4 linked regions of the Diceros bicornis minor genome follow. The protein of the gene in region 1 interacts with the protein of each later gene in a biochemical or structural test. Links are inferred from orthologs where the notes say so. Each region holds a gene or a part of one and is shown in the gene's direction. Other genes may lie near its edges. The genes, in order: AKT1, FOXO3, MTOR and AKT1S1.

Region 1 (7,760 bases):
ACCTTGGAGTCCAGAACAGGGGACTGTCACCCTCTCAGCGGACCCTAGCTCAGCGTTTGCTGGGGGCCAGGCACGCAGAGCTGTGTCCTAGTGTCTCAGGGACACAGCGGGGTGGGGGGATAAACGCTGTGATAGAAGGGTCCTCAAGCGCCTCCAGAGCCCAGAGCAGGTGGAAAAGTGTTCAGGGAGGGGGAGACACCGTGGAGGGGCAGGGTTGACAAGCTGGGGACAGGGTATTTCAGGTGCAAGAGCACCATGAAGGGGTGAGGGGACACCTAGGTCTGCAGGGAGAAGGACATAGCCCAAGAGAAATGGAAAGCAACGATTTTGGAGAAGTTGGGGCCCCCAAGGGGGGTGTATTGCTGGCTGCGAGTCTTGCCCAGGGGCAGGAGGCAAGGCGCTGCCCTTGACGGAGCAGGACTGAGGCACTCTGGACCGCTGCTCAGCTATCTTTCCAACAGTCCCGTTAGTTAGATGCTCTTGTTATCACACCTGCTTTGGTGGGCAGGTTAGGTAAGGTGCCTACCGCCACACAGCAGGCAGTAAGTAAGCTAGAATCCCAGCAGTCTCCTGAGTTCCCACCTGCATGTCAGGCAGCCCCGGAGGCAGGATGCGCTGGGGAGGGGGAGCCCCAGCCAGGAGAGGTTGGGTAGAAAGGAGGCCTTGATTAGTGGCGGGAGTGGCACTGGGGGAGGGCCTGGATTACAAAGGATGGGACACCAGCCGGCCTGGTATATGCAAGCAGAGGAAGCACGGGGAGGAGGGGGGAGCCCTCCAGCCGTGCTCCTTGATGCTCCAGAGGTGGGAGTGCTGGCTGTGAGATGGGGGGTCGCCACCCAGGAATCCTGTTCAAGCCTGGTGGGTTGGGGGCCTGAGGAGCGGCCAGAGGGCCTGGGGCCCACCACAGTCTGTGTGGGAAGGAAAGCCACATTCTTACACTAAAAAATTATGCCTTGTTTATCTGAAGTTCAAATTTGACTGTGTCCTGTATTTTTATTTCCTAAATCCGGCAACTTCAATGTGGAACTCTGGACTCACGCTGCACTGAGCCACTGAGACGGCCCTGGCTCCATTGCCCTTCACCTCGGGGACCCTTCTGAGGAGGGTCAACCCCCTCCCTCCACCCCCTCACCCAGCCCACAGCAGGAGGAGCTGACTTCCAGTCCAGTCAGAGGGAACCCAGATGGAACTGCCTGTGGCTTCTCGCCTGTGTAGAGTCCTGCCCCTGCCCCCTCCCGACCTCAGGCGTGACCCTTAGCCTCTTCGAACCTTAATATCCTCATCTGCAGAAAGGCAGATTCAGGGCAGGGCCTGGCTCACAGCAGGACCTCAGGCTCCTCCTCTGAAGGCCTTCCCTGGCTCCTCCATTCCTGTCTCTGTTCCAGCAGCACCCCAAGAGTGGTCTTTCCTGACCACCCCACCGAGGTCCCCCCAAGCCCACGTTCTCCTCTCCTCGTCCTTCTCCAGAGCACTCCCCGTGCCGTGTGACTGTGCTCTCTCTCGGCTCCCCCGATGTATTCTCGGGGCTAAGAAGCTGTCGGGGCACAAAGTGGGGTTCAGGAAAGGTCTCTTGAGTGAATGCATGGCGGTGGCTTCCGTGAGGGATGTTCCCTAGGTGCTGCCATCTGAATTCTGACTGCTCTGTGGTGCCACAATGCCCAGTGTGGCCTCCCCAGGCCCGGCCTTGAGCATGCGGAGGCAGGGAGGGGAGGCTGGCCTTGCTGGGGCTCTGGACGGACAGCTCCCCACACAGGCCGCAGGCCGGGAGGAGGCCCCCGGGGTGGGCAGAGTGCCCTGGCCTGCCCTGCCTGGCTGGTGGGACGAAGTGCTCCTTGGGGGCCAGACAGAGGCTGAAGCAAATTAGGACGCTGCCTGTAAGAGCCTGGGGTTGGGCCTGGGAGGCCGGCCCAGGTAGGGATGGGCTAGAGGAGGGACGTCACTCGGGGAGGGGAGAGTGGGAGAGAGGCCCCTGAGTCTCTCAGGTCGGAAGGTCTGAGTAGGTCCCCCTGTCCTGATACCCCCCACCCTGAGGAGGGGCTGTCTCAGGCAGCCCGGAGATGGTACTCAGGAGCCGGCCGCCCCTTGGCCCTTGGATCCTCTCTCCGGCCCTGTGCAGTCCCAGTCACAGGGATGACAGGAGGTTGTCGCAGTGGTGCGGGCAGAGGCTTCCCAGACGCAGCTGGCCAGGCGGCCATCTGGCCTGGGAGCTGCCCCCAGGCCCCGCCCTGCAGCTGCTGCTGAGACTAGGCAGCCCGGGCACCGGCCCACCAGTCCTGCTAGAAGGCTGGCAGCTGCAGAAGGTGACAGGCCCGGAGGCTCTTGTGCTCTGGGAGGGGCAGGCGGCCACCCTCCTCAGGGGCAGTGTAGCAATTTTTGTTGGAAACATCTGGCCAAGGGGCATCTCAGCGGCCCCAGCAGCGGCCAGCATGGGCTGGCAAGCTTGGTCCTCTCCTTGCCATTCTGTCTGGGGGTTGGGAAGGGGGTGTTCTTGAGGAGAGGGGCTCTGCTTTCCCTGCCGGAGGCCAGAGGCGGAGGGGGCTAGCCCTGCCTTCAGGGATACCCCAGTCACAGGGCAGGGGCATGCCAAGGTGCAGACAGGACTGGGCACTGCATGGAATGGGGTGTGGGGCACACAGCAGGTCACGCACAGTGGGGGCTGGCCCAGAGCGCCGTGCAGAACAGGCAGGGAGACCTCCTGGAGACGGGCCTGGAGGTTTGGGACCACTGCGATGCAGCCTCCCAGCCAAGATGCGGTTCCTCAAATGGCCAGCAGGCCCCAGAGCACCTGGGGAGCTGCCACATGTTCCACAAGACGGCGCCCTCCCGGCCCCTCAGTGGCCACTGGCTGCCACCCTGCCGGGTTCTCCTCTGGTCCTCCACCTCCTCCATAGCACTGTCAGTTCAGGATGGGGGGTGGGCACGGAAACCCTTCCTGGGAGAGCAGTGGGTAGGTGGGATGGTCCCAGGGGGCCCCAGGGGGAAGGTGTGCAGGGTGAGCGATGGACAGACATTGGACATCAGGGGCTGACCCTCAGGTCAGGCATCTGGCCCCAGCGGCACGGTCGGGGCCTCTCACTGGGCCCCCTGGAGGCACGGCCCTGCCTGGAGGTACACAGTCAGAGCTGGGACAGCTGCGCTGCAGTGGGAGGGTGGGGGGCAGCAGTGCCAAGGGGAGAGGCCGGGAACTGGGAGTCCCCTCCTCAAGGAGCCAGTGTCCCCTGAGCAGGAGAGAGTGTCCTTCTCTGAGGAGCGTCCTTCTTCAGGTCAGCCCCAAGAGGCAAGGATGGAGCCCCAGTGTTGGCTGTAGATGCCGTCCTGGACACTCAGCTGGGCTGCACCTGCCTCTGACCCAGATGAAGTGTCCACGCCCCCTCAGGTTGAACTCTGACCCTGGATGAAGAACAAAAATGCCCCCCCCAACACATACCAACCTCAGGAAGGTAACTTACAGGAGTCTTCCTTTCACAAAAGGATAACTATCAACTGGGAGGCCTCAGGGTTGGGGGGAGGGGCAGCTGTTGGAGAAACTAGTGGCTCTAGCCAAGGGCCAGGGCCCAGGGAGGGGTCACGGGTGGGAAGTTGTCTGCAGATCCTGGGGATCTGTAGGAGGAGGGGGTGAAGTCTCTCTGCCTCCCTGGCCCTTAGATGCCTGCCAGTGGACTGTGGGTGCCCAGGGCCCATTTGCACAGCAGGGAGGGTCCTGGCGGCCTCAGCTGGCACAGCCCTTCTCCTGAGTCTGCTCCCCCTCAGCTCCCCCTGCTGTGTGTCTGTGCCCAGCCCCGGTGGGCACCTCAGGCCAGGTGTGCTGCATGAAGCCGGGTGCCACATGCATGCCCCTCCACTGGTCCCTGCAGCCCTCACTGTCACCACGTGAAGTCCCCATCCACTTTTATAGGGCCATATGTCACATCTTTCTGGGGAGGGGAGCTCCTGGAAGACTCCCCGGAGGGATTGAGGGCCCAGCCCAGGGCCAGGCCCATGGCAGGCCTTCAGCACAGAGATGGACGACCGAGTCCCGTAGCCTGCCCTCTCCTGTCCACGGTCCAGCCAGCCTTCCAGGCCCACCTCAGACCTGACTTCGCCCCCCAGCCTCTGGCATGCCCTCAGGGACCAGCACTCTGCGCTCACCTGGCAGGGCCCTTGGGTTGGTCTTTTAGGAGAATCTTGGCTGCTCCCTCCCCCCCACCAGCATGTGGCTACCCACTTGGAGCACCTTCTGAAAGTCAAACTAACCTGCCCCCTCCTATCCCCCCAGTGGAAGCAGAAGCCCAGGATTCGGCCCAGATCGGCCCTTTTAATAGGGTCGTGGCAGAACTGGGCCGAGAAGCGCAGGCTCCCTGGACAAACCGGGCAACTGAGGCCAGAGGGGACGTGGTCTGGGCCCGGCCCCAGCGGCGGGCAGTGGCCCGGCTCCGTTAGCGGGCCCGGCCCCGGCCCCGGCCCCGAGAGCCGCCCGCCGCGCGCTCCCGGCGCCGCGCCCTCGCCCCGGCCCGCGGTGGGGGCGCCCGGGGCGGCGGAGGCGGATGTGGGCGGGCGGCCGGGCGGGGCGGGCGCGGGGCGGGGAGAGGGCGGGCCGGCGGCGGCGGCACCGAGCGCGGCGGGCGGGCGGGCGGCCGGCCCAGCGCAGCCAGCGCAGCCAGCGCAGCCGGAGGACGCGAGCCGGCGGCCGCGCGCAGCACCGGCCCCGAGGCGCGCGAGGCCCGCCGAGCAGCCCGCCGCCGCCGCCTCCAGCCCGGCCCCGCCCGCCCGGCCCGGCCCGGCCCGCGGGGATGCGGAGCGGCGGGCGCCGGAGGCCGCGGCCCGGCTAGGCCCGCGCTCGCGCCCGGACGCGGCGCCCGGTGAGTCCCCGCCCGCCGCCGCCGCCGCCGGGGCCCGGATTTCCTCCCCGCGCCCGGCCGCTTTGTTCCCGGCCGGCGGGGCCGGGGCGCGGGCCGCGCGCAGCCGGAATGAGGAGCGGGAGCAGGAAGTGGCCGAGCGCGGCCTGGGCGGGGAGGGCGCGGGCCGGGCCGGCGCCGGGGGTGCGGGCCGCCGGCCCCGGCTCCCTCATGACCTTGGGGAAGCGGCTCCGCCGGGCGAGGCCTGGGCTGGGGCGGAGGGGCGCGGCCCGGCGCCGGGGGCCGCGAGCTGGGGCGCCCCTGCTGCCCGGGGCTCCCCGGGCGCCTGGCCAGCGCGGCCGCGGCGCCCAGTAGGCGCCCAGGGTCCTTAGGAAAAGGCTCGCCCCAGCCCTCCTTGAAGTTTGTGGGTGGGCCCTGGGAAGGAGACCTCATTTTCCCATGGCCAGAAAGTTGTACATGGTGGCGAGGTGCCCAGGCCAGCCCACAAAGGACTGCTCACCCTCCTGGGCCCCCAAACTGCTTCCTGACCTGGGAGGGCCGTGGAGGTGCTGCCTAGCCATCCCGGAGCTGGGGCCCGGAGGGCGGCGGGGCCTGCCCCCCGGAGTGGGGGGTCCAGGGCAGGTTTGCCGGCGGGCCGGACTGTTCCCAATTACTGCCATGGTGGACAGAGTGGGGGGCGTGGGCTGTGCTCTGTGGCCAGAGGGCCCCCTACATTCCCTCCTGCCGCCCCGCCTTGCTCCAGGCCCCTCCTTGCTGTTCTTGAGCCCTTCATCCAAGTGAAGGGCGGGTTGTTTTGATGGGGGCTTGATTCCCTGCCCCCGAGCTGACCATACAGTTCACAAGTCAGTGTTTTTGGGGGGGGGGGACCCTTTCACAGCACAGATTGTTTTTTTCACAAGTTGTGGCTTAAATAATAATAGCAGTCGTACATGTTGATGGTAAAGGCACTCACAGTACAGAAGTAGCGGGAAACAGAGGTCCCCTCCATCCCGCCGGCCCTGTGCCCAGAGGTGGCCCAGGCACTGGGCTGGTGTGTACATTTCTGTGCAGACGTACACCACCCTATGTGTGTGCACAGATATATTTTTACACACGGGGCTCTCAACAGCTGTCTGACTCGGTCAGCAGCAGGCCCTGCTCAGACCGGGGTGGGGGTGGGGGGATGTCCAGAGGTCTTTGAGTCCAGCCCCCTGCCCCCAGGCCACGCCCACTCAAGTATCACCAGAGCCCCCTGTCCCCGGGGCTCAGAGCCCTCTCCTCTGCGGTATCTTCGGGGCTCACTTGCTGCCCATCGCTGCCCCTGGGCGTGCTGAGCATGTCAGCCACTTTCTTCTTTGGGCCAAGTGTGTCTTCCCTGTCCTGGCACCAGACGCAAGGCAGTGGGGTCTTCTGCCCTTCTAAAGTCAGCCTAAGAGTGCAAAGCGGCCCTCTGGGTGCCCAGCCCCTGCCTCAGGAGGCCAGTAAGGAGGGCTTCAGGAGGGTGTCTAGGCGGCTGTAGAAAGACCCAGGTTGGGATCCATTCTAGAGGTCCTCAGGGGTCTCTGCCTGGCCTGGATGTCCCAGAGAGGAGTCTCTTTGGGCCTGCCCTTAGGAGTGCCCGTCTGGAGGGGTAGCAGAGGACTGCTCATGGGAAGAAGGCTTTTTCCCAGGATGCCCAGAATGGGTAATGTGGGAACTGGGTTTTGAGGGATGCCTAGGAGTTCGTACAGCAGGGGAGCAATGGGGAGGGCTGTGCAGGATCAATGGCCAAAGTGTCTGCTCAGGTGAGGGCTGGCTGGTGGGCCACTGCAGGGTGGGTGCCAGTACCACTGCGCTGCTGCAGTGCCACCCCCCATTTTTGGCCTCGTGAATGCTGTAATTATGGGTCTGTAACCACCCTGGACTGGGTGCTCCTTACAGACAGGACCCGTCTGAGCCTCTCTTTGTCCCCCGCGCCCAGCCCTGAGCCTGGCAAAACCAGAGATGCCCGGTACGTGTTGGCCGATGAATGAACCAGATTCAGACCGGCAGGGGCGCTGTGGTTTAGGAGGGGCCTGGGGTTTCTTAGGGGAGGGGTTTCGTGTCCCCCTGGAGGGCTCTGGCTCTCATCTGCGCCAGCTGCCTGCGCTGCTGGCCCTGCCTTCTTTGTGTTTGAATTTCTCTCCTTTCCCAGTCTGGGGCAGGGAGGAGGAGCCAGGGCCCTGCCCCAGGAACCCCAGCCCGTGGGTGGGAGTACCACAGACAGAGAAAACAGGGGCACCCTCTCCAGGGACTTGGGGATGCTGAGGGGCGTGGGCCGAAGCAGTCAGAGGGGCTGCCTGGAGGAGGCGGCTGCTGCTGTGCTGGCAGGTTAGGGAGGCTGGGATCTGCTGGGAGGGCCTCTTGGGGATGGGAGTGTATAAAGTCCAGGGGAGGTGGGAATGGGGGAGGTGGGGGGGGGCAGTGAGCTCTGAGGGCCTGGGGGTCCAGGAGGGGTGATGGCAGGGGCCTTGATGCCCAGGTCGAGGAGAGGCCCTGGCCCAGGGAGCAGTTTGAGTAACGGGAACTTCATGTCAAGTGCCATGGCGGGAAGAAGGCGATGGGACGGCTGTGCTCTGAAGGCTAAGAGGTGGGCAGGCCAAGGGGGAAGGGAGACCCAGGCTGAGACCCCGGGTACGATGGGCCTCCTGGGCTGCCTGCAGGGCCAGAGGAGCGGCCTCCAGCCGGACACAGCCTCACACACTTCCTTTGCTTCTTCCAGAGGCACGGGCTGGGCTCGGGGAGACCCTGCTGAGAGAGGAGCGGGAGTGAGACCTGGGCCGCCCGGCCAGCCGGAGCCCGGGCACCATGAACGACGTGGCCATCGTGAAGGAGGGCTGGCTGCACAAACGAGGTGAGTGGCCGCGGGGCTGGGCCTGGGGTGGGGGCCCCGGAGCCGGCCAGCATGCCACCCTCAGGTGGCGGCTG
Region 2 (7,061 bases), on another chromosome or scaffold:
CAGAGGAGGCAAAGAGGAAGAGAGGGGATGGGAGCTCCAGAGACTCCTGGGGAGAGTGGTGATGAAACCTGTCTGGAATGACACCCAGAGAGACAAGCTAACACTGAAGCTCTTTGGTACACAGTGTCCAATATGTTTTCCATGTGCATAATTTGCTGAGAAGAGGGGAGGCAGAGGAAGGGACTAATGAGGGTGTCAGACAAAAGACGGGGAGCAGCTATAGATCTGAATATTGGGGCTCCATCTTTTCAGCTGGGTCACACAATTGTTGGGGGGCTTATACTGCATTTGTGTTTCCTGTCTTCATTGTTGAGACGGACCAAGAAGCCAATCCAAGAGGGAAATGAGCACTTTGCTGCCAGGCAGCGTGCTCAGGCCCTAGTATTTGGGCTCTGGGGTCAGAGGGCGTACCTAGCTGACTTAGGTTCAAAGAGGACTGGGCAAGGACACAAGTGCTGAGCGGTGGCCCCCTCGGAGGCAGAGCCCTGGCATCTACCATCAATCCCTTCATAATTAGATGTGTGAAATGGTGAATTTACTCAGTTTATTCAGGTAAAAAAACATTTAACTTTTGCTCCTCCAGTGACCGAATTTGCAATATGGAGTGGACATCACCACCTTAAATCCTTTGTAGAAATAATCAGGGTATGATAAGAAGTGAGGAGAGCTGTGACCAAAAATTCTACCTCAGAGGTTATGCTGGCATTCCTATTCAGTCAACAACCATAACTTACTCAGCTTTCCTAGACTAAAAAGTTTAGAAAAAAAAAGGTAGGGGGAAAAATGGAGAAGGACCAAGGAGGCTTTCAGGGGAAAGCAAAGGTCACAGCAGTTTCAGGCTAAAAGAGAACAATCACTGAGATCCAATCTCTGAGTTTTTAAAGGCCTGCCCACAGGGACAAATTACAAGTGTAAATTCTTTGGGTAAGACGCACATTTACCAAGCTGAATTTTTATAGTCACTGCCATTTGAAGTTCTGATCCTTAACTCATTTGAAACTTACCCAATGCGATGTGTATGACCTCTTGTATTTGTCTTGTATGTTTTTAAACTCTTGAAATACTGAACTTTTTAATATGTCTTACACCCCCAACTAAGACTAAGCTCTTTGAGGGAAATGGCTAGATCACGTCCCTGTCCCCCACTCCTCACCAAGAAGGTCTCAATGAGCTCAATTAATCTATTAAATCTTTAACTTTTACATTTTTTGGTATGCCTTCGGGATATGCATTCTGTAAATGGACATCCCACATGTTTATAGTGAAAATCTCATGGCCAAGAGCCCAGCCAGTGTAAACACATTCTTTCTCCTTCTGCCCGTCTGCACTTTAATGACAAAAGATTGCTTAGATTTAGAGAAGAAAACGGGTAGATTTCTTTTACAGTGTGTTGTAAGTATTTTTAAAAAGCTGCTGAAAGTTCTTTGGATTTTATACTGTATCATGGTGCAAGGCCCTGGGTGATCTAGCCACCAGGTTCTGCGTGCAAAGCTGAACACCAGACTCCGGGTAATATGCTCCAGCTCCCCCGCCTCCCCATGGGCATTCGAAGCTGAGTTTTGGTCGGACAGCACTGTCCACACTGTCAGGCTATAAACCAAATGCAAACTCAGGGATTCTCAGTGGGGCAGGCCCACAACCAGAGGAGAGGAGCCGCACGCAGAGGAGCAACCCCAGGAAGCAACCAGAACCCTGTTCCCAGACTCCTCCTTCCAAAGACACCCCGAAGCAGCAGAAGCGCATTTGTACGTGGGCAGAGCTGTATGCCCAAGAGATGGGCACATATGGACTGAGGACATTCGGAGCAAGCGAACGAGGGCACAAAGCACGCAAGGTGGTGCGAGTCTCCCTCGCGGCTAGGTTGTTGTGTGCCAGTGAGCGTGTGAAATCTGCTCCGGAACCGGTGGCCGCGGGGCCCGGCCTGGCGCGGCCTCCAGGACCCAGAGAAGCAGGTAGCTTTGTTCCCGGAATGTGAATGAGGGAACCGAGCCCGGGGTTAAAGAAGGCAGCGTCCCGAGGCGGGAACACGTCGTTTCCGTTGAGGCTTGCGCAGCGCGAGAAACTCGCCGTCAGGCTCCCCGGGTCGAGGGGCCGGCTGCGCTGGAAGCCCGCCGCGGGGACAGCCTCGCTGGCCGGAGAGCAGCGCCAGAAGAGGCCGTGGAGCGGGCCCCGCGGCTTCTCCCAGAAGGCGCGGGCGGCCCCACGCGCCCGCCACTCAGCTCGGCTGCCAGCACTACATTCCATTTAAAAATAACACCCACGTGCGCTGGTAAACAAGCGCGCGCGCCTGGCGGTGCCGCGCGCCCCGGGTGAGCGTGTGCGGCGCGCGCCCGCCCTCCTCCTGCACGTGTCTGCCGGCTCCACCCGCGGCGCTCCGGCGAGGCTCAGTCTCCTCCCCCGCGGCGGGCCGCGCACCGCCCCCCAGCCCCGAGCCAGGCGGCTCCCGGGCCCTAACGCCCCCCTTACTGCCAGGCGCGCCCCGCAGAGTGCTCTCCAACTTTCCTCTCCTGACGCCACCTCATCGCGGCGGGACCCGTCACCCCAGGTCTGCTCCCTCCCTCCTCTCCCCGGTCCTCTCCTGTCCGCCTCCTTTTAACTCTCCCTCCGTCAGAGCGCCAAGGACTGGCTTCTGGTTCGCCCTCTCTTTTTCTCCACTCCTCCCTCCCCTCCTGCCTTAGAATTTTACTCGATTGTTTATTATTTGCTGTGCGGGCGGGGGCGGGGGCGGAGAGGGGCGTCTGCGGCCTGGAGACTGGTGGCTGCGGCCAGTCAGCGTGCGACTTGGCTTGACGAGTAAGCGGCGCAGCGAATGGCGACGCGGCGCAGCGCTCTCGGGTCACGCGCGTGTGGATACAATGACATCATCTATTTGTACGCGTCGAACTAGCTTGGTGCAGGGGCGGGGCCGCGCGTCACTTGAGTGACGGGCCCTTCGCAAAGCCCGGAGCCTGGAGTAGGCCGGGTGGGCGGACTCCTGCGTACGCTGGGTTGGACCTTTTTGTGTGTCGGGTTGTTGAGGAGCCGCTCTAGACTGTAAGATATCTCCAATGACTTGGAAGGATTTAAGAGAAAAAAAGATATTCATGAATCAAAGTGGATAGACTTTTGGTGTGTGTGTCGCATGTGGTGCATTCTTAGTGCACAAATGAACGATCTGGGCACTGATCGTAAGATAAGGACTTGTGAAGATGTTTTGCTAAACCTAAAGGAGTATCTCTTTTTTAAAGTAAAAAATGCACAATTAGCCGTTTTGCCGTCATTTACAAATTAGAATCAAATTACTTCCCATTCACAGTTGTCCAAAATCTGCTCATGCGTTTAGGAATGGGGAATAATTTGCTTTTCCCTCCTGAGTTACACTTCTCCCCTCGTTTGCCACGAAATTCATGAAAATTGAAACACGATTGCGGTCGAGCGTCTTAGGTAAGAGACAGTGCAAACCTTTTCGTGCCTGATCGAATCGAAGCGCATCAGTTTATGGAAGTCCTGTAGCCACCAACATCGTCGCTTGTCAGTATTTCCAAGCTGAGGTAACCCTTGCCATCTTCGGTCAGCATCTTATCTCGGGTGTTACCTGGTGTCCGGTTCCCCATTAGAACCGGACACCAGGGCGGCTCCGGGCGGGCAGACGCGCGTGCAGGGGACCGCCGGTGCCAGGCGCCCTGCCGGGAGTCAGAGAAGCCACGCGACTGCGCTCGTGGAGCGTTTGGGGCTCTGCGCTCCCCCTCCCTCTTCTCCTGGGCCAGCGCCGCGCTTTGTTGTCGTTGAGGCTCTGGGGAGAGAGGAGGAGCCCGGCGGGGACGGCTGCGGGAGCCCGCCGAGTCCCGGCCCGTGGCGCGCGCCCTGACACCCACGCCCGCAGCCCCGCGGAGCCGGGTCGCGCAGGCGCGCGCGCGCGCGAGCGCACTCACACACGCACACACACACAGCACACCCGGGCCCGCCGCCCAGCCCTCCCCCTGGGCGGGGACCCGCCCGCCGTCAGCCTAGGTTGAGGCACCCTGCGTGTGTCTATAACTTTGTGCTGCTGCCGCGGCCGCCCTGCTGGTGGAAGGGAGGAGGAGGAATGTGGAAAGCGGCGGCGCGCAGGCTGACAGGCGGTTCCTCCGGCGGGCTGCAGCGGCGGCCGGAGCACCTCTCCTTCACCGAGGTTGCGCGCCCCTTCCTCACCGTGCCCCGGGCCCGCGCGGGATTGTGCGTCCTCCCCCCTCGTCCCTGAAGGGAAGGAATCGAGGTAGGCGCCGGAGCTGTGCAGCGGGGCGTCCGCCTTCCCGGTGACTCCGGATCTGCTTTCGAGCTGGGCCAGGCGCTTCCCTTTTCCCTCCCCGTGACTCGGTGTGCGCGCCCCCCCTTCTCCCCGCTAGTGTTTTTAAAGGACTTGAGTGAAGGGAGAAAAAACTGTCAAGATGGCAGCAGCGGGAGCAAGGAGGTGATGAACGTGCTGGTCCGGGTTTTCTGGCGGCCCGGGAAGACTTGGCGCTTCCCGACCTGTTGGAAGATTTATGTTTGACTTGCCCCCTCCCCCCGATCTTTACAGGGAAGCGGGTGGAGGGCACAACGTGCGCGAGAAAATAAACCACACAAAACCCCAAAGTGGCTGTTCCTGCTCGGCTCGACCCTTTGCGAACACCAGCCGAGCTGCCTATCCCCCTTCCCGTCTTTCTCTTTTCTGGAAGTGACAAGGGCCCATTTGCGCGCGGATCCACGTTCGCCCTCCCGGCCCGCGGGCCAAGAGGGGAGAAGGGAGCTGCCCGCGCCGTCCCCGCGCTCGGGCCCCTCCACTGGGAGGGGAGGTGGCAGGGGAGGCGCGGAGGCGGCAGGGCTGGGGACGGGGAGGAGAGCTGAAGACGCCACAGACTTTGGCGGCGGCGCCGCGGGAAGCACTTGAGCGGCCCCGAGCGAAACATAAACAAACGCACGCCCGCCCGGGCTCGGACTCCGACCGCGGCACCGCTGCGCCAGCTCCGGCCGCTGCCCGATTTAAAGGCGCGGCCCGCGCCCCTCCCCCTCCCCTCCCCCTCCCCGCCCCTCCCCCTGCCTCCCCGCCCAGCCACCTAACCCAGGAGGGACCTGCGGCTCTGGCAGCGGCCGGGGGAGGGGGCTGCCCCGTGCGAGCCCGTCGATTCGCTCCTGTCTCCCCCGCGGCCCGGCCAGGGGGCGGTGTCTGCTGCGCCAGGTTCGCGGGACGCACGTCTCCAGGTCTGCCTGCTCCTAGGAGGCGGGCGCGGTGCGCTCGGGCGGCGGCAGCGGCAGCGGCGGGCGAGGACTCGCCGAGGACTGGGCTCCGGCCCGGGATAACCAACTCTCGTTCTCTCTTCTCTTGTGCTTCCCCAGCGGTGGCGGCGGCAGCGGCGCCCAGGAGCCCGAGTCTTCGCGGCGCCCCAGTCCCTCCCCCGCCGCACCCCTCCCCGGCGCGAGAGGAGAGCGCGAGAGCCCGAGCCGCCGGCGGGCGGGCGGCGAAGATGGCAGAGGCGCCGGCCTCCCCGGCCCCGCTCTCTCCGCTCGAAGTGGAGCTGGATCCGGAGTTCGAGCCCCAGAGCCGGCCGCGCTCCTGTACGTGGCCCCTGCAGAGGCCGGAGCTCCAGGGGAGCCCGGCCAAGCCCTCGGGGGAGGCGGCCGCCGACTCCATGATCCCCGAGGAGGAGGACGATGAAGACGACGAGGACGGCGGCGGGAGGGCCGGCTCGGCCATGGCGATCGGCAGCGGCGGGAGCGGCTCGCTGAGCTCCGGGCTGCTCCTTGAGGACTCGGCCCGGCTGCTGGCTCCCGGAGGGCAGGACCTCGGGGCCGGGCCAGCCCCGGCGGCGGGCGCGCTGAGCGGGGGGACGCAGACGCCGCTGCAGCCTCAGCAGCCAGTGCCACCCCCGCAGCCGGGGGCGGCTGGGGGCTCCGGGCAGCCGAGGAAATGCTCGTCGCGGCGGAACGCTTGGGGGAACCTCTCCTACGCCGACCTGATCACTCGCGCCATCGAGAGCTCCCCGGACAAACGGCTCACTCTGTCCCAGATCTACGAGTGGATGGTGCGTTGCGTGCCCTACTTCAAGGATAAGGGCGACAGCAACAGCTCCGCCGGCTGGAAGGTGCGTACCCACCTCGGGCGGGCGGCCGGACCCGCTGGGCCTCCTGCGCAGTTCGAGACGCGCCTTCGATGCCTCGGAGCGCGCCTGCGGGCGCCGGGGAGAGGGGTTGGCAAGGAGAGCCTCGGCGGGGAGGCTTTGGGGGTTCTCTGCGACCCCCGGAGGAGGGGAACCTGGGGACGGCCGAGGAGGGGTGGGGCGGAAAGGAGGCTCTCGGGGAAGCCTCGGGCATGGCCAGGTGAGGAGAGGGGGCAGGGGACACCGGCGAGGGAAGGACAGACGGACAGGAGTGCGTTTGCTGGATTCTCGGGACAGCACGGAGAAGGTAGGTCCGCGACCAACTTTGGAGTAGTGGGGGTGAGTTCACCGTAGTGGGGTGCGGTGAGGGCGCTGCGGGTGGAGCGAGGGGACGTGGGGGAGTGTTTGGGACTTGGTGCTCGCAGGAGGGGTTGGATTTGTGGTTTCCAGTCGGTCGCAGAAGCATGGTGTATTGTCACCAGCTGGATGAGAACCTTTGGGTCTAAGTTTCAGGCTTGTGGGTGTTAACTCCCATAGGCACATGGATCCCGTTTGAGAAAGCAGTGGTTGCCAACCTTTTCCTGGCCGGCTGTCTTTCCTTCCTCGTGTTGACACTTTTATTTTTCACAGATGTCTCTTTAGTAAACCTGCCCCCTAGTAGCCTCTGAGCTGTTCTGGGGCCTGGAACGGGCCAGCCCTGCCACCTCCACGCGGACTGGCCGCACCTGCTGCTCCCGGTGAGGCCTGCACTCGGGAGCTGCACGAGGCGGGGTGGAGGACTGGGCCTGCCGCTTCACCTAGGCCTGTGGGAGAGAGGTTTGGTGGCAGGGCTGGGCCGAAATGGCTTCTATCTGTAAGTGAACCTGAAGAGAGGCTCTCCACTGCTCCTTTTCAGCCTCTCTAGGTACTGGACACATGGTAGGGAGAGAGGTGTGGAAAGGCCTATGATGTAATGATTTCCTGCAG
Region 3 (7,774 bases), on another chromosome or scaffold:
AGGTCCGCGCCTGCAGCTGCTCCTAGACTTGCCGGAAACAGCTTAACTCAGCATCACAAGAACGACCACGAATGCTTATCGCTTTCCGACCTACCAAGCGCTTTCACTCACCGAAATAGGACTCATTCATTTTTTATTCAACAAGCATTTATTGAGAGCCTACTGTATGCAACAAGCATTTATTGAGCACTCAGTATGGTACGCAGCAGTGAACAAAATGGACAAAAATCAGGGAGCGCATTGAGGGCCATGAGAAAGGTATAATTATCCCCCCCTTTTTAAATGAGAAACTTGTAATGTCTAAGAAATTATTAGTTCTGGTAATTCCCGCTTTTTATTGTGCAATTACCATATGCCATATACTGCCCTGCCTGCCCTTTTTTTTTTTTTTTTTCCATATTCTGGTTTATTTACTTATTCATGCAAATAACCGCCCTCCTCCCCACCCCACCAGGTGGCCAGCTCTGTGTCTCCACTGCCCACCTTCTGGGAGCTTATGGTCCATACCTGTAGCTTGTTCTGGCTGGAGAGAGCCAACTGTTACATTTTTAGGAATTTTGTGAACTGGTCATTAGGCACAGCCATTACTAAAAATTAAATTACACAAACTCACAATTAGATAAAACTATATTAAAAACAAAGGTAACAGATACTCGAACCTCATTACTTCCTAATTATTTCACTACATTTTAGCATTTATGCTCTTCAGGTTCTTTGCGTCTGTTGTATCTGCATTGTGGAAATACTACATAATAATGTGCTTCTGCTCATCTCGTCCCAGCTTTTCATTCAGTGACATCCGCTGGTAGCTTGAAACCTGCCACGATGGGAGTCTTTATACTGAGCAAATCAGCCAATCCTTGATAATTGTTTTGTTGATCCTCTAGACTTAAGCAAGGGACAAGGAAAAGTTAATAATGCAGGTCGAAGGTAAAAGTGTGTTAATTCTGTAGCTGTTACTTTGTGACTAGCAACAAGACTTTGAGGAAATATTCTTCCAGTATTGGAAAATTATTATCCAGTTCAGCAAAGAAGCCACTCATGTCGTTGAGAAACTAGTGAAGTTCCAACATCTCTTGATTGTCACACTTTCCTCTTTCTTACTCATTAACATAAAAGAAAATATCAACCAACATTCATGGGAGACTACACTTATTGGTCAATTGCAGCCATAAGGAGGCTACACAATATCAAAGAAAGCATACCGTTAGAATCAACCTGCCATATGGAATTTACAATAAAGAGTAGTGTGTATTTTATTTGTAAGTTGTGTGCTACACATCCTTTACATGTGTTATAACAACATATATAACACATAAAGTTATAATACACATATAACATACATGTACACGGATGGACTACATAATTTTCGTGCCCGATGCAAAATAAAAATGCAGAGCCCCTGGTTCAAAAATCGTTAAGAATTTCAAGACACAACATCACGACCTCATAGGTCACACAGCCATGAAAACAGCCCTGTATGTACATACATGCCCCCCTCCTCTACCAGCTAGCTGGTTGTTAAATATTTACAGCTCCACCACCCAGCACATACTTGCGACGCTGGCCAAACCTGAGAGTCCTACGCTGCCAAATCAGAGAAAAGGAAGCAGCAGGTGTATTAAAATCCTGGCTCCATCACTTACCAACTCAACGACCTAATCCCTCTGTGTGTCAGTTTACTTGTGTGTAAAGTGGGAACAATACAGCCTGCCTCACAGAAATGTTCAGGAATAACAGTAACAGCATTTATTGACTGTTCACATGTGTCATACAGTGTTTTAGTTGCTTTACATGTATTGGTGTTTAACCCCACAACACTGCCTACTGAGATAGGTACATTGTAACCCTTCTGGTTTTATAAAGAAATAGTTACTTGGAAATTAAGTACTTGCTCATATAGTTAGTAAGTGTTGGAGCTGAGTTTCAGATTCAGTTAGTTTGACTCCAGTCTCCTTTTATATTGCTCTATAATGTCCACTAAAATGCCTGATACTTTGTAAGTGTTCAATAAATATTAGTTATTATTTTAACATAATGGATAAGAAAGCTCTTTGTAAACTGAAAAGAGATCTACAGATGCACTGATTACTGTTGCTATAAAAGCATCTTTGATTAATTAGAAAGCAGGTAATAAAATAAATAAGTTCTGGGGATATAATGTACAGCATGGTGAGTATAGTTAATAATACTGTATTGCATATTTTAAAATTGCAAAGAGAGTAGATCTTAAAAGTTCTCATCATAAGAAAAAAAAATTTTTGTAACTGTGTATGATGACCAATGTTAACTAGACTTATTGTTGTGATCATTTTGCAGTATATACAAATATTGAATCATTATATTGTACACCTGAAACTAATATAATCTATGTCAATTATACCTTAATAAAAAAAAGATAAGAAAACAGGGCCTTACATCTTAAGGTGGCAGAAATCTCATATATTGCTAGTGGGAGTGAAAATTGGTACCTCCTCTATAAAGATCAATTTGACAATATCCATCAAGCATGGGTACACATGGATTTACTCTCTGAATCTGTAATTCCACTTCCGCATATTTATCTCGGTACAACTGCCAGGGAATAAAATTATATATGTCCAAAAGCATTAATAGGCGGCATAATTAGTAATAGCAAAAATTTGGAAACAACACAAGTGTCCATCAAAAGAGGACTGGAAAGGGGCCGGCCGGTAGCACAGTGGTTAAGTTCATGTGCTCTGCTTTGGTGGCCCGGGGTTTGCAGGTTTGGATCCCAGGTGTGGACTTACCCACTGCTTATCAAGCCACGCTGTGGAGGCATTCCATATATACAGTAGAGAAAGATGGGGGACGTTAGCCTAGGGCCAGTCTTCCTCAACAAAAAGAGGAGGATTGGCAATGGATGTTAGCTCAGGGCTAATCTTCCTCACAAAAAAAAAAAAAAAAGACTGGAAAAATAAATAATGGTATATCCACGTGATAGAATACTATGCAACCAAAACAACAACAAAAGAACAAGGAAGCTTTTTATATACTAAGATGGAAAGATCTCCAAGACCCCCTAAAATTTTAAAAAGTGCAGAACAATGTATATAGTGTAACAAAAAGGGAAAATAAGAATATGTATTTAGGGGCCGGCCAGTGGCATAGTGGTTAAGTTCATGTGCTCTGCTTCAGAGGCCCGGGGTTCACAGGTTCAGATCCTGGGTGTGGACCCACGTACTGCTTGTCAAGCCATGCCATGGCAGTGTCCCATATAAAGCAGAGGAAGATGGGCATGGATGTTAGCCCAGGGCTAGGCTTCCTCAGCAAAAAGAGGAGGATTGGCAATGGATGTTAACTCAGGGCTAATCTTCCTCACATACACACAAAAGAATATATATATTTATATTTGATTGTATTGCATAAAGAAACTTTAGGGATACTTAGGAAATAAGAAAATAAGTAGTGAAGAGGCAGGGGTGGAGCCTGACTTTTCATGATAAATATAATTTTTATTTATGTTAAGATCTGCACAGTGAATATATAATATTCAAAAATGTTTAATGATTAAAAATAGAAATGTTGAACACAAGTGAAAAATGTGGAATGCAGAGGAACAATTAGTTCACAGAATAAGCAATACAATGAAAAGATTCTAAACCTAAAGCAGTAAATCATATTTAAAAAAAAATCTTTCAAAGCATTTTGTTAGCCACAGAATATTAGCAAATTTCTTTCAAATGGCAGTTTAGGACTTCTAGAAACTTACATTTCTTAAACAAACACTTCTTTTTATTACATAAGTAATTGATGGTAATGTACAAAGAAAAAAATATGCCTTCCCCAAGTCCCATTACATCTTAGTTGTATATTTTCCCTCTGTAAACACAGAACACATAAAAATTATGTTTTTTAAAAGGGTTATATTTAACATACTGTTTTATAACATATTTTTTTAAACTTTGAACCATTTTCCTTCTTAGCAAATATTGATCTGCGTTATCATTATTAGTGGCTACACGTTTTCCTTAATATGAATGCATATTTTATCAGACTCCAATTGTGAGATATTTAGGAATTTTCAATGTTTATTATAATAAACAGAATGTATTTAAAAACTGAGATGTCAAATTCCATTTTTAAAACTGATTTTTTGAAGGGATGTTTTAACAACCATGCTGCTTGAAAATTATTTACGAGTGGCTCATTTAGTTCAAACTTGGCTATGGTTTCTCGCGAATGATCTTGTGAGCTAGATAATTTTGGAAAAGTGGGAAAATCTAATTAAAAGCGCTTTCAAATGCATATTACACTTAACAAAAGAGAAATCACGGGTACATAAGTTGAGCTAGTCCGAAAACTTTAGGTCTTTTGCTCCAGCAGCTACCGGGCACCGGCTTCGTTCACACTCTGGTCTCAGAATTAAACCGGGCGGGGTCACGCACCTTCGCCCACCCCTCGCGGTCCCATCTCACCGCACCACACAGCGGACTCCGCGCGGCTACAGCCCCAGTGCCGAGGGGAATTATAGTAGCGACGCACCGGATGTGTGCGTGGAAGCCCCCGAAGTCAACTCACGACCGATTGGTCCTCCCGAGCGAACCTAAACCTCCTTTCTCCTGCCACTGGTCGCGTGGTTTGTCTATTTGAACAGTCCCCGCCCCCTGGGGAAGCCGGGTCCCGAAGCCCCACTGCTCCTTCATTACTATTGGTCTGTGTTCCAGTCCATCTTCTCTTACGCCTGTCGATTGGTCCTTAGCAATAGGAGCCCGCCCTCACTCCCGCCCCGGCTTAGAGGACAGCGGGCCAGGCGGGTGGTGGGGCCGGGGGCCTGAAGTGGCGGTACCGGCGCTGGCGGCGGCAGCTGAGGCCTTGGCCGAAGCCGCGCGGTGAGTCTGGGGCCTGGCACCGACCCCTCCACGGCGGCGGAATGTCCTGACCCTCGGCCGGCGTGGTCCGTGGGGGGGCCCCGGGAAGTCGCCTGTCTGGGACGTGGGGTCCCCTCAGTACCGGCCCCACGGACTTGGGCGCCGCCTGAGCTCTTGACCCCCGCCCCGCGAGGCCACGCCCACCTCCTCCCGGACCCCGAGGAGAGCCCCGCACCCTGCAGCCTGCCGTGGTCTCTGGCGCCGCGTAGACCGGCCCATCGGCTCCGGACCTGCCGGGACGCCTTGGGGTCTCCGTGCCCGTCAGCCACCCCTTGTTCTGAGCCGCCTACAGATGTCCTCAGAGAGGACCAGCGTCAGTGTCGGCCCCGCGCAGTGCGCCCCGGAGCCTCTCGAGGACCCAGTCCCGGGGTTGAGCTGGTTCCGCTGGGTTCGTCCTCGCCGTCTGCCCGCCCCCATCCCTCATCTCAGCCGCCCAGTGAGCCCTCGCCAAGACCCCTGGGGTGTTGGGCTCCCAGTATTTTCATCGAATTCTGTCTGGAGCAGATGGCCGGTGGGCCTCAGACCTTGTAAAGAGGTACTGGGTCTTTCCTGAGAATGGAAATTCCTCACCAGCCTCCCCCCATCACGGACACCCCACCCTCGCTCCATAGTTGTGTTCTCATCAGGGATCCTTGGGTTTCCTCTTCCCGAAGAATGACATTTCCTTCTGCAGTTTTTGTCTTGGCACCAGAGTATTTAAAAGCTTTTCAAAACCAGTTCTTCCCTGTTTTTTCCTCTGCATCTCACAAATTATTCCAAAAATAAGAATTTTGAAAAATTGGTTTTCTAGTATAATCTGAACATTCTTGGGTCAGGTGTGCGTTTTACTTCCATAGCAGTCTCGGCTGAGCCCTGTTATGTCCACTTTATTGTGGTTGCCTGATTATTTATGTTTCCCTCTAGATCCTGAGCTCATTGAGGGAAGGTACATAACTGAGGAATGAATGCGTGATCTCAGGAACTGATCAGTCTGTTTTAGCTCACATTCCCAGTACTAGTATTCTGTAGAACTGCACTGTCCAGTACAGGAACCACCAGTCACATGTGGCTTAGCGCACTTGAAATGTGACTAGTCCAAACCGAGATTGCCGTAACTGTAAAACGCACACGAGATTTTGGAGACTCAGAACAAAAAAAGAATGGAAAATATATCAATGATTCTTTTATACTGATGACACGTTGAATATTCTATATATGAGATTAAATAAAATGTATTAATTACACCTGTTTTTTTACCTTTTTTGATATGGCTACTAGAAAGTTTAAAATTACATTTGTGACTCGTATTATATTTCTGTTGGACAGTGCTGCTACAGAATAATAACGTTTCCCTCTTTAAGTTGAACTCCTTGAGGAAAGCGGCAGTCTTAGACAGATTTTATTCTCTCTCGACCTCCCTACCTCTAGTACCTGGCGCTGTGCCACGTACGTAGTAGTAATAATGATAATAATAGCTAACAATTACGGTTACACTGTGGCACTGTTTTAAGCACTTTTCAACATGTATTAACTCGTTTAATCCTCACAGCAACTCGATGAGTTGGGTGCTATTATCCTCCTATTGCAGTTGAAGAAACTGAGATGTTTTAAGTATCTTCTTCAAGGTATATAACTTTGAACTGGATTCAGACTCAGTCCGGCTCCACAGCCCACAGTTTGACCCTCTCTGCTACCCTGCCTCTTTTACACAGCAGTCATTGTTAAATGAATTGAGGCTTTCTACACGTTCCTCAGTGAGGTCTCCCAACCTGTTTTAGGATCCCCTACCTGATGGGCTGGGTGGAAATTTGTGTTCAGGAACTGGGGCCATAAATAAATTCATCACCATAGTTTGTTATCCAGAATATTTAAAGGAAGCTTCTCTCCATAGAACCTCAGGGCAAGATGCTGGGAACCGGGCCTGCCGCCGCCACCACAGCTGCCACCACCTCTAGCAACGTGAGCGTTCTGCAGCAGTTCGCCAGTGGCCTGAGGAGCCGGAATGAGGAGACCAGGGCCAAAGCTGCCAAGGAGCTCCAGCACTATGTCACCATGGAGCTTCGAGAGGTCGGGGCTTCTGTCATTTGGGCCAATCGTCATGGAGTGTTTGGGCTAAATGTACCATCACTGGTTTAGATTCCTTTTGACAGCTAAGTAAGGATTCGGAAAATGTAGAGGTTCTGTTTTAGAAAGGCACCCGATTTCTCATGTCCAAAGAATGTGCAGTTTCCTTTGCAGTGGTTACACATTTCCGTGGCCTTTCTTGTGTTGTGACATTTTAGGAGTCAGCATAGAGTCAGCTGTTTTTTTAAATTTTTTTCTTTTTCCCATCACATTCTAGACCCTCAGTTCTTTCTGCCTGATAACAGTGGTTGGGATGGGTTTGAAGAGGTGATAGCTTAGGGCTTTCTAAATAGAGACCAGACTTGAAGTCAGGGACAATGTCTTGTTCATCCTTGTACCCCTGGTACTAGGTAGAACCTAGGACAGGACGTGGCCTGCCATGGAGTAAATACTCAATATGTATTTGTTAAACAGGTGAGTTGTGAGTTCACTTGCTCTACAGTTTAAAAGTATGGAGTTGGGCAGTAGCTTTGTCGTCTTTGTTTTGAAATGTACCTGCTGGCCACTTCTCAGGTCTGAATCTTTGGAAATCCCCCTGCCACCCCCCACCACCACCATAAGGAAGACATTAGAAATTGTTCTGAGTATATCTTCCTTTGCAGATGAGTCAAGAGGAGTCAACTCGCTTCTATGATCAGCTGAACCATCACATTTTTGAACTGGTTTCCAGCTCAGATGCCAATGAGAGGAAAGGTGGCATCTTGGCCATAGGTAAGGACAGAGTCTCTGATGACAGTAACAACTAGGAATAAAGTGCTCACCTTTGTGTCCACTGCGCC
Region 4 (7,934 bases), on another chromosome or scaffold:
AAAGAAGCCAGTCACACAGAATCACGTATTGTAGGATTCCATTTATACGAAACGTCCAGAAGAAGCAAATCTATAGAGACAGACAGTGGGTTACTGGTTGCCAGGAGCCAGAGGAGGGGTAATGGGGGGCGACTGCTACGCGTACAGCGTTTCTTTCGGGATGATGAAATGTTCTGGAATTAGATGGTGGTGATGGTTGCAAAATCCTGTGAATACTGAAAACCACTGAACTATTGAGGGAAATTTTAAATGTTACCATAAAATTGAGTTTTATGGTAAGTGAATTCCATCTCAACAACAAAAAAAGTCGCTGCCCCAGAGGTGGTTGTGAAAATCACGTAAGTGACCACCATGGGGCTGGTGGTGGCTGCTCTGACCTGAGCTCAGGGGTCTGCTGGGCAGATTCAGGGGAACCGTGCAGGGGAGGGCCGTGCTGAGGGTCAGAGTGCAGAAAAAGCCACGGGCCACGCAGGAGGACACGGAGGGGACAAAGTGTGTGAGCACTGTGGCGACTGTGAGTCCACTCCCAGGCCAGTGTGCCCTCCTGTATGGCAAAGGCTAGAAAGCTAAAAACTACATTTCCCAGGCTCCCTTGCAGCTAGAGTGCCACACACAAGACAGAATCTACCAATCAGATGCACTCAGATCTGGAAAGTGGAAATCAGATAAGGGCAACTTCCTGCCGCTCTGGCCAGGTTTGGCTGACAAGCAAGGAGACTCATCTCTCTTTCTCTCTCACACACAGAGAGGCCACTGGGTTTGTGGTGGGGCCAGCGCAGCCTTCCAGTGCCCAGTCACCAGCTTGAGGGGGCCGAGTAGCAGCTTTGATGGCAGTGTTCTTGAACTCAACAGCTCCAATGACAGTCCCCTCTCCCACCGCCCGCCTTTCCGCAGTGGTGGCAGCCCCCCTGGCAGGTCAGTCCTGCAGCGTCGGCCCTGTCCCTCCAGCCTTTGTCAGAATTCTCTGAGCCTCCGCGTCTTTGTCCTGAATCCCTTACTGCTTAAAGTAACTGCCGAGTTTGTGACTCCTGCAATGAAACCCTGCAGACTTAGAGCTATGAAGCCGGAAGGAGCCAGAGGGGGGCGTCTACCCAACAGCCATTTGTGCTGCTGCTTCCAAGCTGAGAGCCCCTACCACAGCAGAAGCAGACATCTCCTGGTATTCGCTTTCCCAGCCTTCCCTGCAGTTCTGAGCAGCCTGGGGACCCAACTCCAGCCAGTGGGGGCTGACAGGACATCTGTGGGGTGTCTGAGGAAGGGAAATTCCTGATAAAAAAGCACCCACAGGAGGGAACATCCTGTTCAGGCTAGCCTTTGGGTGCTGTCAAGGGAGAACATGGTGTTTGGAGCTGTGGCAGCCAACTAGGGCCATGAAGGGAGGGCCAAGGAGTGGCAAGAACACCTGTCCACAAGGCTGCTGAACCAACCCTGGCAAAGCTACCTCTACCCTTCGTGTTTTGTGACATGAAGAATTCAATGATTTAGCTGATGTTTACACAATTTAGTGATAGTTAATAGTGATGTTTATCAAATATTTGCAGCTTTTCTCCTCTCCAGCACACAGCAAGATCACAGCTCGGTGAACCCTACTGGGTGGTGGAGCCGTGCAACTAGTTCTGGCCAAGGAGCTGGGATGTATCTATCACTTCCAGGATGGACTCTTTAATCATTAGGGCAAGACTTCTAGAACTCTTTTCCTCTGCCACAAAGAATGTCGACTTTTAAGATGGTGGCTGCTCTAGCAACATGCTTCCTTGAGTAATCGTAATGAGCGGAGCTCTTTGGCCAACCTGCAACACACTTGTAGAGTGAGCAAAAACAGCCAAAAAGGCTGGCGCTCCAGCAGCCCTTCTGGGCCATGAGGGAGACTGGAGGATGGATGCCACATGCTGAGGAAAGCAGAGCAAAGATGGAAGGACACCGGGTTCTTGATGACATGTGAACTCGTACTTCTCACTTTTGCGCTTTTTAATAGGAGAGAAATGACCTTCTATTTGCATAGGCCGCTGTTACTCCTACTTCTATTACACACAGCAGATGTAACTCCTGACTGAGGTAGAGAGTTTCTGGGAAATCTCTTGTCTTCCTGATCAAAAGGACAGATGTGAATGGCACCCTGCTTGCCCCCTTCTTCTGCCTTAAAAGGCAGATGCAATGGCTGGAGATGAAGCAATCATTTAAAGGCTACGGGGACAAGAAAAGCAGGGTCCCAGTGACCCAGGCCCTGAGGTCACCAACCAAGGCCAGGAGTCCCATACCTCTCAGAATCTTGTGAGATAAGACAAGCAAACTTGTTTTCCTAACCTGTCATTGGTCTGGTTTTGTGATCCTTGGAGCTGAATGTATCCTGAGTGCATAGGTGCCCTTTCTGCTGAAGCCCATCTCAGTGCGTTTCTGTTATTCGAAAACAAGAGTGCCAAGGAGGATGGCAGTATTCTCCAGAAAGCCACTCAGATTGCCTGCGAAGTCGGTGAAAAATGCAGAACCCTGGTCGCTTCTTCCCCAGCTCCCTCGGGGCGGGGGTGGGGGTGGGGGGCCTCTGGAATCTCCATCTGTGCCCCCCCAGGTCATTTGAAACCCCACAGCCCCAGCTGAGGCTCCATGGTCTCTCACACCGGCCATCCTCCCCAACCTGCCGGCCTCCAATCTCCCTCCATTCGGTCCGTTGTTCCATCTCCCACGTGGCCCACCAGAGGGGGCACTCCACACCCACACCCTTCTCCTCTCATGTTTCCCAGTGCCCCCACGACAGGGTCCAAGCTTCTCAGCCCGGCAATTCAGGCCCAAACACCTTTCCAGCAAACCCCTCTACAGAGAATCCCCTTCCCCCTGTGCCCTGCGACACACTTCCTCGTGCCCCCTTCTAATCTCTAGAGTCCCAGCCCAAATGTGTGCTCCCCCGCGAAGAGGCGCGGCTCTGGAAGCAGAGTGTCTGGGTTCAAACCCAAGTTCCAACACCTCCTAGCTTTTTTGACCTCGGAAAAAGGGCTTTCTCTCGTTGTGCCACAGTTTCTCAAAAAGAGAATGGGAGTGAGGGCTTAGGCAGGGTCTGAGTTGGACTCATCCCTGGGTCCAGTTCAGGAAGCCTCAGGAGACATCTGGTAATGAGAAGGGGAGAGGAAGGCTGCTGGCAAAGGAGGTGAGCAGCCTCGGTCAGGTCCTGTTCCCTCTCCAGACCCGATGGCAGGACTGCCCCTTCAAGTTCTTATGGGCTGACGGCCTGTGGAACCTGAATCCACAGGCTGAGTTGTCTTCTTGCAACCTGGCAGGGCTCTCCCAAGAAGCAAAGGGGGCGAGGGAGCAGCTGTCCCCGTGGCCACGAATCTCATGGTGTCTGCTTGCTTTCTACGAATGGGCGTCTTCACCCCATTTCACACAGAGAAAGAAACCAACTGAGAAGCAGAAAGAACCTAGATCCCAACCAGGGTCACACGCGCCCCAATGGTAGGTCTGGGATTGTCCCCAAGTCCTTCCAATGCCTTCCGCTGCCTGGACCTAGAAAAAAGCAAGTGGAGAGGGGGGAAGGGAGAGAAGCCCACCTTCTTGGAGAAGAAGATTTGGGTGGAATCTCCAGCCTCCTCTACAGGGGCCCAGTGCAGGAGGACGTCGTTGTCCTGAGGTAAGGAGGAACGGGTTAGAGGAGCTCCGCTCCAAACTCCCCAAACCGTATTTCCAAACTCCTTCCTCCTCCTGGACTCTCAGGCTTCCGACGCCCCGCCTCTCCCTCTAGTCCCCACCCCCAGCCTTCCTGAGGTCCCATCGCCGACCCCCAGACCATACTCCTACAGAGGCCGCCTCCATCCCGCTCTGGGCGTGCCCGAGCCCTGCTCCCTCCCGGCCCACCTTCTCCACGACACGGATGACGCCGGCGATGAGCGAGTCCGGGTCCTGGTGCTTCTTGGCACTGGTGTGCAGGTACACGCCTCCCTTCTCAAACACCACCTGGGGGCGAGCGCCAGTGAGGGGCGGGGCCCAGGAGGCAGCCAATGGGAGCGGGCCGGGGGAGGAGCTATCCCCCAGGGGGCGGGGCCCAGGCGACCCCCACCGAGGGGATGGGGCTGGACGGGGTGAGGCCGACACTAGCCTGGCAGCGGGGACTAGGGGGTGAAGAGGAGGGTGGTGAGGGGAAAAGGAGCGACGGGGAGAAGTGGGCAGTGCATTCCGAAAGGGGCTGGGCCCAGGAGAGCATCTCAGCAGCCCAGAGGGCGGGGCTAAAAGATGCGGGTCTCCCTAGGGCAGTGGAGGGGAGGGTGACAGCGCGTTTATAAGGGAATGGTATGTTTGCTAAGGAGCTGTCGGGCTCCCAGAGCCCCGGCACGGCCTGAGGGAGAAGCAGACCACCGGAGGGGGGCGCTTCGCATAGACAGAAGAAAAGAATGCGTCCTCAGTGCTTACCCTGTAACCTGCTCCCTCCATAGCTGCGGCCCAGGCCCCACTGCCCCGGCGCCCTCCTTTTCCGGGTCAACGTGCGGTCACATCCGGGTAGAAGGCTCCCCTCAAGCCCGGACAGTGGTAGCGCCCATGTCTGTCCTGGAACAGGAGAGGGTGTAACCATCTTTCAGAATTGGGTGGTCGAACTTGAACCACGAGGGTTTAAGTCACGTGGCACAGACGCTCAAGGTGGAGCTGGCCCGCAAGAGTGCGCAGGCGCAGTGCTATCGCCCTCACGAAGTAAACAAGCCGAATCCAAGAGCTCCACCCCCTCGCTCAAGCTCCCTCCGAAACACCTACTCTTTCTCCATATTGTATACTGGCATCGAAGCCAAAGAGATGCCATTTTGCTCAAGGGCAGGGCTAAGGCCGGTCCGCTGCGGACATGTTAATGCGGGGCAGTCCCATCTCTCTGCGGGGCGCGACGGAGTTGGTGGGGGGGGAGTCCTGGAAAGGAGAAACGGATAAAGGAAAAGAAGGTGAGAGGAACTGTACGTCACAAGGGGTGCTGAGGGTCTCGGGTGAACGGGATGAAGCCGTCAGTATCCCCAGGAGCGAAGCGGTCCCAGATGAATTCCTGAGTCACCCTCGAGAGAAAGCGGCCTGCACCGCCATATTAAAGCTGGGCAAACCGAAGCAAGAAAGGCTGCCATTTTGGATCTCTGCTAGCCTCGGTGCTGAAGGAGGATAGGCCGGAGGGAGAGCCCATACACATTATGGGCAAATGATGCAGGCTGGCTGCCGTGTCATTAACGGGCACTGCTCTCCTCCACTTCTGTGGAAGAGGTTGCTTACGGGTGAGGGACGTAAGGTCGCTTGCTTTAGTGAACCGTGGTCCTGAGTGTGCATGTGCAGACGGCCATACTTCTTAGGGGCAAATCGAAATGGTCTAGGCTTGTTTTCGAGCAAGCCGAAGCCTTTTTTCCAACCATTTTTCTTATGGGTACCGTGCTGTCACCATTCCGCCACTGTGATTCGGTGAAGCCCCTGCGGCCGCCATCTTGGTCTCGGGCGGCCCGGATGTGGGAGGTGGAGCGTGCGGCATGGAGGAGGGCCAACCATGCGGAAGTGACGCAAGACGCCGCCATGTCTTTTGAGGGCGGCGACGGCGCCGGGCCGGCCATGCTGGCTACGGGCACGTGAGTGGAGGCGGCGTTGTGAAGCGCGGTGTGGGGAGGATTTGGCAGTCCGGAGGAGAGGGGCGCTGGGAGGGCGAGCCGCTCGTGGGAGGGGAATGGCCTGCGTAGGTCAGAGGGCAGAGGTCGCCCAGCGACCCTACGCCGAGCGCTGGACAGGGGTCGCCCGCTGGAATCGTCGTATCTGACCTGAGGCAAAGCCTAGGTGGCCTTATCCTCCAGTTTCCAGACCCACCAGGGTCCTCATCTTGGCCGTGGACCACGTCCACAGGGTCGGGGGGTTGCTCGGGGGGCTTCGGGGTGCCCCTCACCCGTTCGAGGGCGGGACTTCCGGCCCCGGTGCCCACCGGGGCGGGATTTCCTGTTTTCATCCTGGAGAAGTGGGTCTTCCCCGGACCCCCGGACGAGGTGGGGAGGTCTCTGAGCGGGGGAGAAAGACCCCAGGCAGTTACCCCGTCCCTGGCCACGGGGTGCATCCTCGAGTTCCTCCCACCCTCGAGCAGGGGGCACATCCAGTTTGACAGGTGATTGGAGAGGGGCTTCACTAGCATCCCTCACTCCTTGGGGGACTTACCCTCTTTCCTCACCTCTTCCTGGGGTCAGTTTCTTCCCTTCACCTCCTCACCGCATCCTAAGAGGCCAATCGCCTTACCTCTCCGCTCCCCTCCTGTGGAGACAGATCTCACCTCCTTTCCCTAATCTTAGATTCCTCCATTTGAGGGTGGGGGCGTCTTCCACCTCTCAGTTTCTTGGAGGATACAGGACTTCCTCCAGAAGCTGAAGGGGCGGGAAACTCCCCAGGTCTTGGCTCTCTCTGGGTGGGTAACCAACTCCACAGAGCCCCCCAGGCTTGACAGACAGGTCTGCCTGAGCCCCCTCCTCCTTTGGCCCATGCCTCGTCTTTGAGGTGGGGACCCTCTCGTTTCACTCTTCCCAGCCCTGTGGCTCCTCTAAGATCAGGACAAAGAGGCGTGTAATCCTAGCGTCTCAAGGAAGTGAGAGCCCCAGGCCTGGCACCGCTGGGCTGTGTGACCTTGGACCAGTCGTTTCCCTGCCCTGAGCCTCAGTTTCCTCCTTCATCAGGTGGGGACGACCCAAGGAGTGGCTGTGAGACCCTGAGCACCCCCGAGTGCTGTGGGGTTTGGAGTCAGGCAGATAGCAACTTCAGCCCCGCTTTTGTCACTGTGTGCCTTCCAGCCAGTGCCTTAAGCTCTCTGGGCCTCACTTTCCCCATCGGGACTAGGAGATCATAAATCTTTCCTCCTGAGATAGGCAGGATGGCATTTGGGATTCAGAACAGGCTCTGGATCCAGATCCCAGTCCCAGCTCCTGCTCTCCAGCTCCATGACCTGGTCAAGATACTGAATCTCCCTGGGCCTCAGTTTGCAACTGTCAAGTGGGCTGATAGCAGCTCCTCCCTCACAGGCTTGGTGAGAGGGTGGGATGAGGGTGTTGATGACACACTCAGGTCCCCACCTGGCTCGTGGGAAGTGCGGGATGAACTTGCTGCGGGTCCGTCAGGAACGGTGCTGGTGTGCTCTCCCTCTGTGTGGCTTCCAGCAAGGGCTTTGTGCCCCGTGAGCCTCGGGGTCACGCTCGTGAGTGACAGCTCCCACCTAAGTGGGGCAGGTAGGAGGTGAGGTGACAGGTGCTGAGTCCCTGCAGGGAGTAGGTGCTCAGCAAACACTGGCGTCTGTGATCATGAGTCACAGAGGGCCTGTGCATTGAAATCAAGCTACTACGACCCCGGGGGCTGGATCACACCATGCTTGAATCCCTCCAGTGATGGGGTGCCTACTGCCCACCCCAAGGAGGCTCCTCAGCTGCCCGGCAGCCCTGGCTCAACTACTCTGGTTTACAGGGGGAAGAAAGTGAGGCACAGAGAGGGCCAGTGAGTGGTCCAGGGTTACACAGCAGGTTTGGGACGGTCAGGGCAGTAAGCCAGCCCTCTTGCCCCTGCTCGTCTTACCTCATAAGGAGATTGTCTGCCTAGGGCAGAGCTGTCCTGGGGCCACAGATCCCTGACCTCGGCTTGCTCACAGTTTGATGGAGGAGGCAGACAAACTCAGTGACGTGAGCTGGAGTGGAGGTAGCCCAGGGCATTGTGGGTCTAGGGAAGGCATCTGGTCCGTCCTGGGTGATCAGGGAAGACGTCCAGAGGAACTGTGGGGACAGGGTCTCCTAGGAAGGACAAAAGCTTCTCGGGCCATGTTCAGGCGCAGGGAGCGGCTGACACACCATTTTCTGCTCCAGGTGCTGTCAGGCCTGCCAGGTGCTGGGCAGGGGCGGTAGCTCAGAGACAAATCGACAGGGCCGCCCTCGGGGGGCTCCCCCACTGGCTGGGGAGATGGACATGGGCCCAGACAG

The links.
Region 2: of the proteins of AKT1 (region 1) and FOXO3, one has a biochemical effect on the other in vitro, tested with the Homo sapiens proteins (2 studies listed by BioGRID and IntAct). The link is inferred for Diceros bicornis minor from reciprocal best matches to the Homo sapiens genes AKT1 and FOXO3.
Region 3: of the proteins of AKT1 (region 1) and MTOR, one has a biochemical effect on the other in vitro, tested with the Homo sapiens proteins (19 studies listed by BioGRID and IntAct, with this or other methods). The link is inferred for Diceros bicornis minor from reciprocal best matches to the Homo sapiens genes AKT1 and MTOR.
Region 4: of the proteins of AKT1 (region 1) and AKT1S1, one has a biochemical effect on the other in vitro, tested with the Homo sapiens proteins (2 studies listed by BioGRID). The link is inferred for Diceros bicornis minor from reciprocal best matches to the Homo sapiens genes AKT1 and AKT1S1.

The regions. Positions count from the first base shown.
Region 1 is NC_080763.1:49,324,945-49,332,704, reverse strand, and holds the start of AKT1 (RAC-alpha serine/threonine-protein kinase), read left to right. Parts: upstream 1-4,747; 5' UTR 4,748-4,838; intron 4,839-7,554; 5' UTR 7,555-7,640; coding exon 7,641-7,686; intron 7,687-7,760. UniProt on the Homo sapiens protein: AKT1 is one of 3 closely related serine/threonine-protein kinases (AKT1, AKT2 and AKT3) called the AKT kinase, and which regulate many processes including metabolism, proliferation, cell survival, growth and angiogenesis.
Region 2 is NC_080762.1:26,451,968-26,459,028, reverse strand, and holds the start of FOXO3 (forkhead box protein O3), read left to right. Parts: upstream 1-4,048; 5' UTR 4,049-4,234; intron 4,235-5,101; exon of another isoform or gene 5,102-5,334; 5' UTR 5,335-5,462; coding exon 5,463-6,080; intron 6,081-7,061. UniProt on the Homo sapiens protein: Transcriptional activator that recognizes and binds to the DNA sequence 5'-[AG]TAAA[TC]A-3' and regulates different processes, such as apoptosis and autophagy.
Region 3 is NC_080752.1:30,490,942-30,498,715, reverse strand, and holds the start of MTOR (serine/threonine-protein kinase mTOR), read left to right. Parts: upstream 1-4,770; 5' UTR 4,771-4,853; intron 4,854-5,109; exon of another isoform or gene 5,110-5,427; intron 5,428-6,762; 5' UTR 6,763-6,776; coding exon 6,777-6,938; intron 6,939-7,597; coding exon 7,598-7,706; intron 7,707-7,774. UniProt on the Homo sapiens protein: Serine/threonine protein kinase which is a central regulator of cellular metabolism, growth and survival in response to hormones, growth factors, nutrients, energy and stress signals.
Region 4 is NC_080773.1:25,230,532-25,238,465, reverse strand, and holds the start of AKT1S1 (proline-rich AKT1 substrate 1), read left to right. Parts: upstream 1-4,933; 5' UTR 4,934-5,370; coding exon 5,371-5,570; intron 5,571-5,585; exon of another isoform or gene 5,586-7,196; intron 7,197-7,934. Other genes in the region: TBC1D17 (TBC1 domain family member 17), read right to left, coding at 3,540-3,614, 3,844-3,942, 4,396-4,416. UniProt on the Homo sapiens protein: Negative regulator of the mechanistic target of rapamycin complex 1 (mTORC1), an evolutionarily conserved central nutrient sensor that stimulates anabolic reactions and macromolecule biosynthesis to promote cellular biomass generation and growth.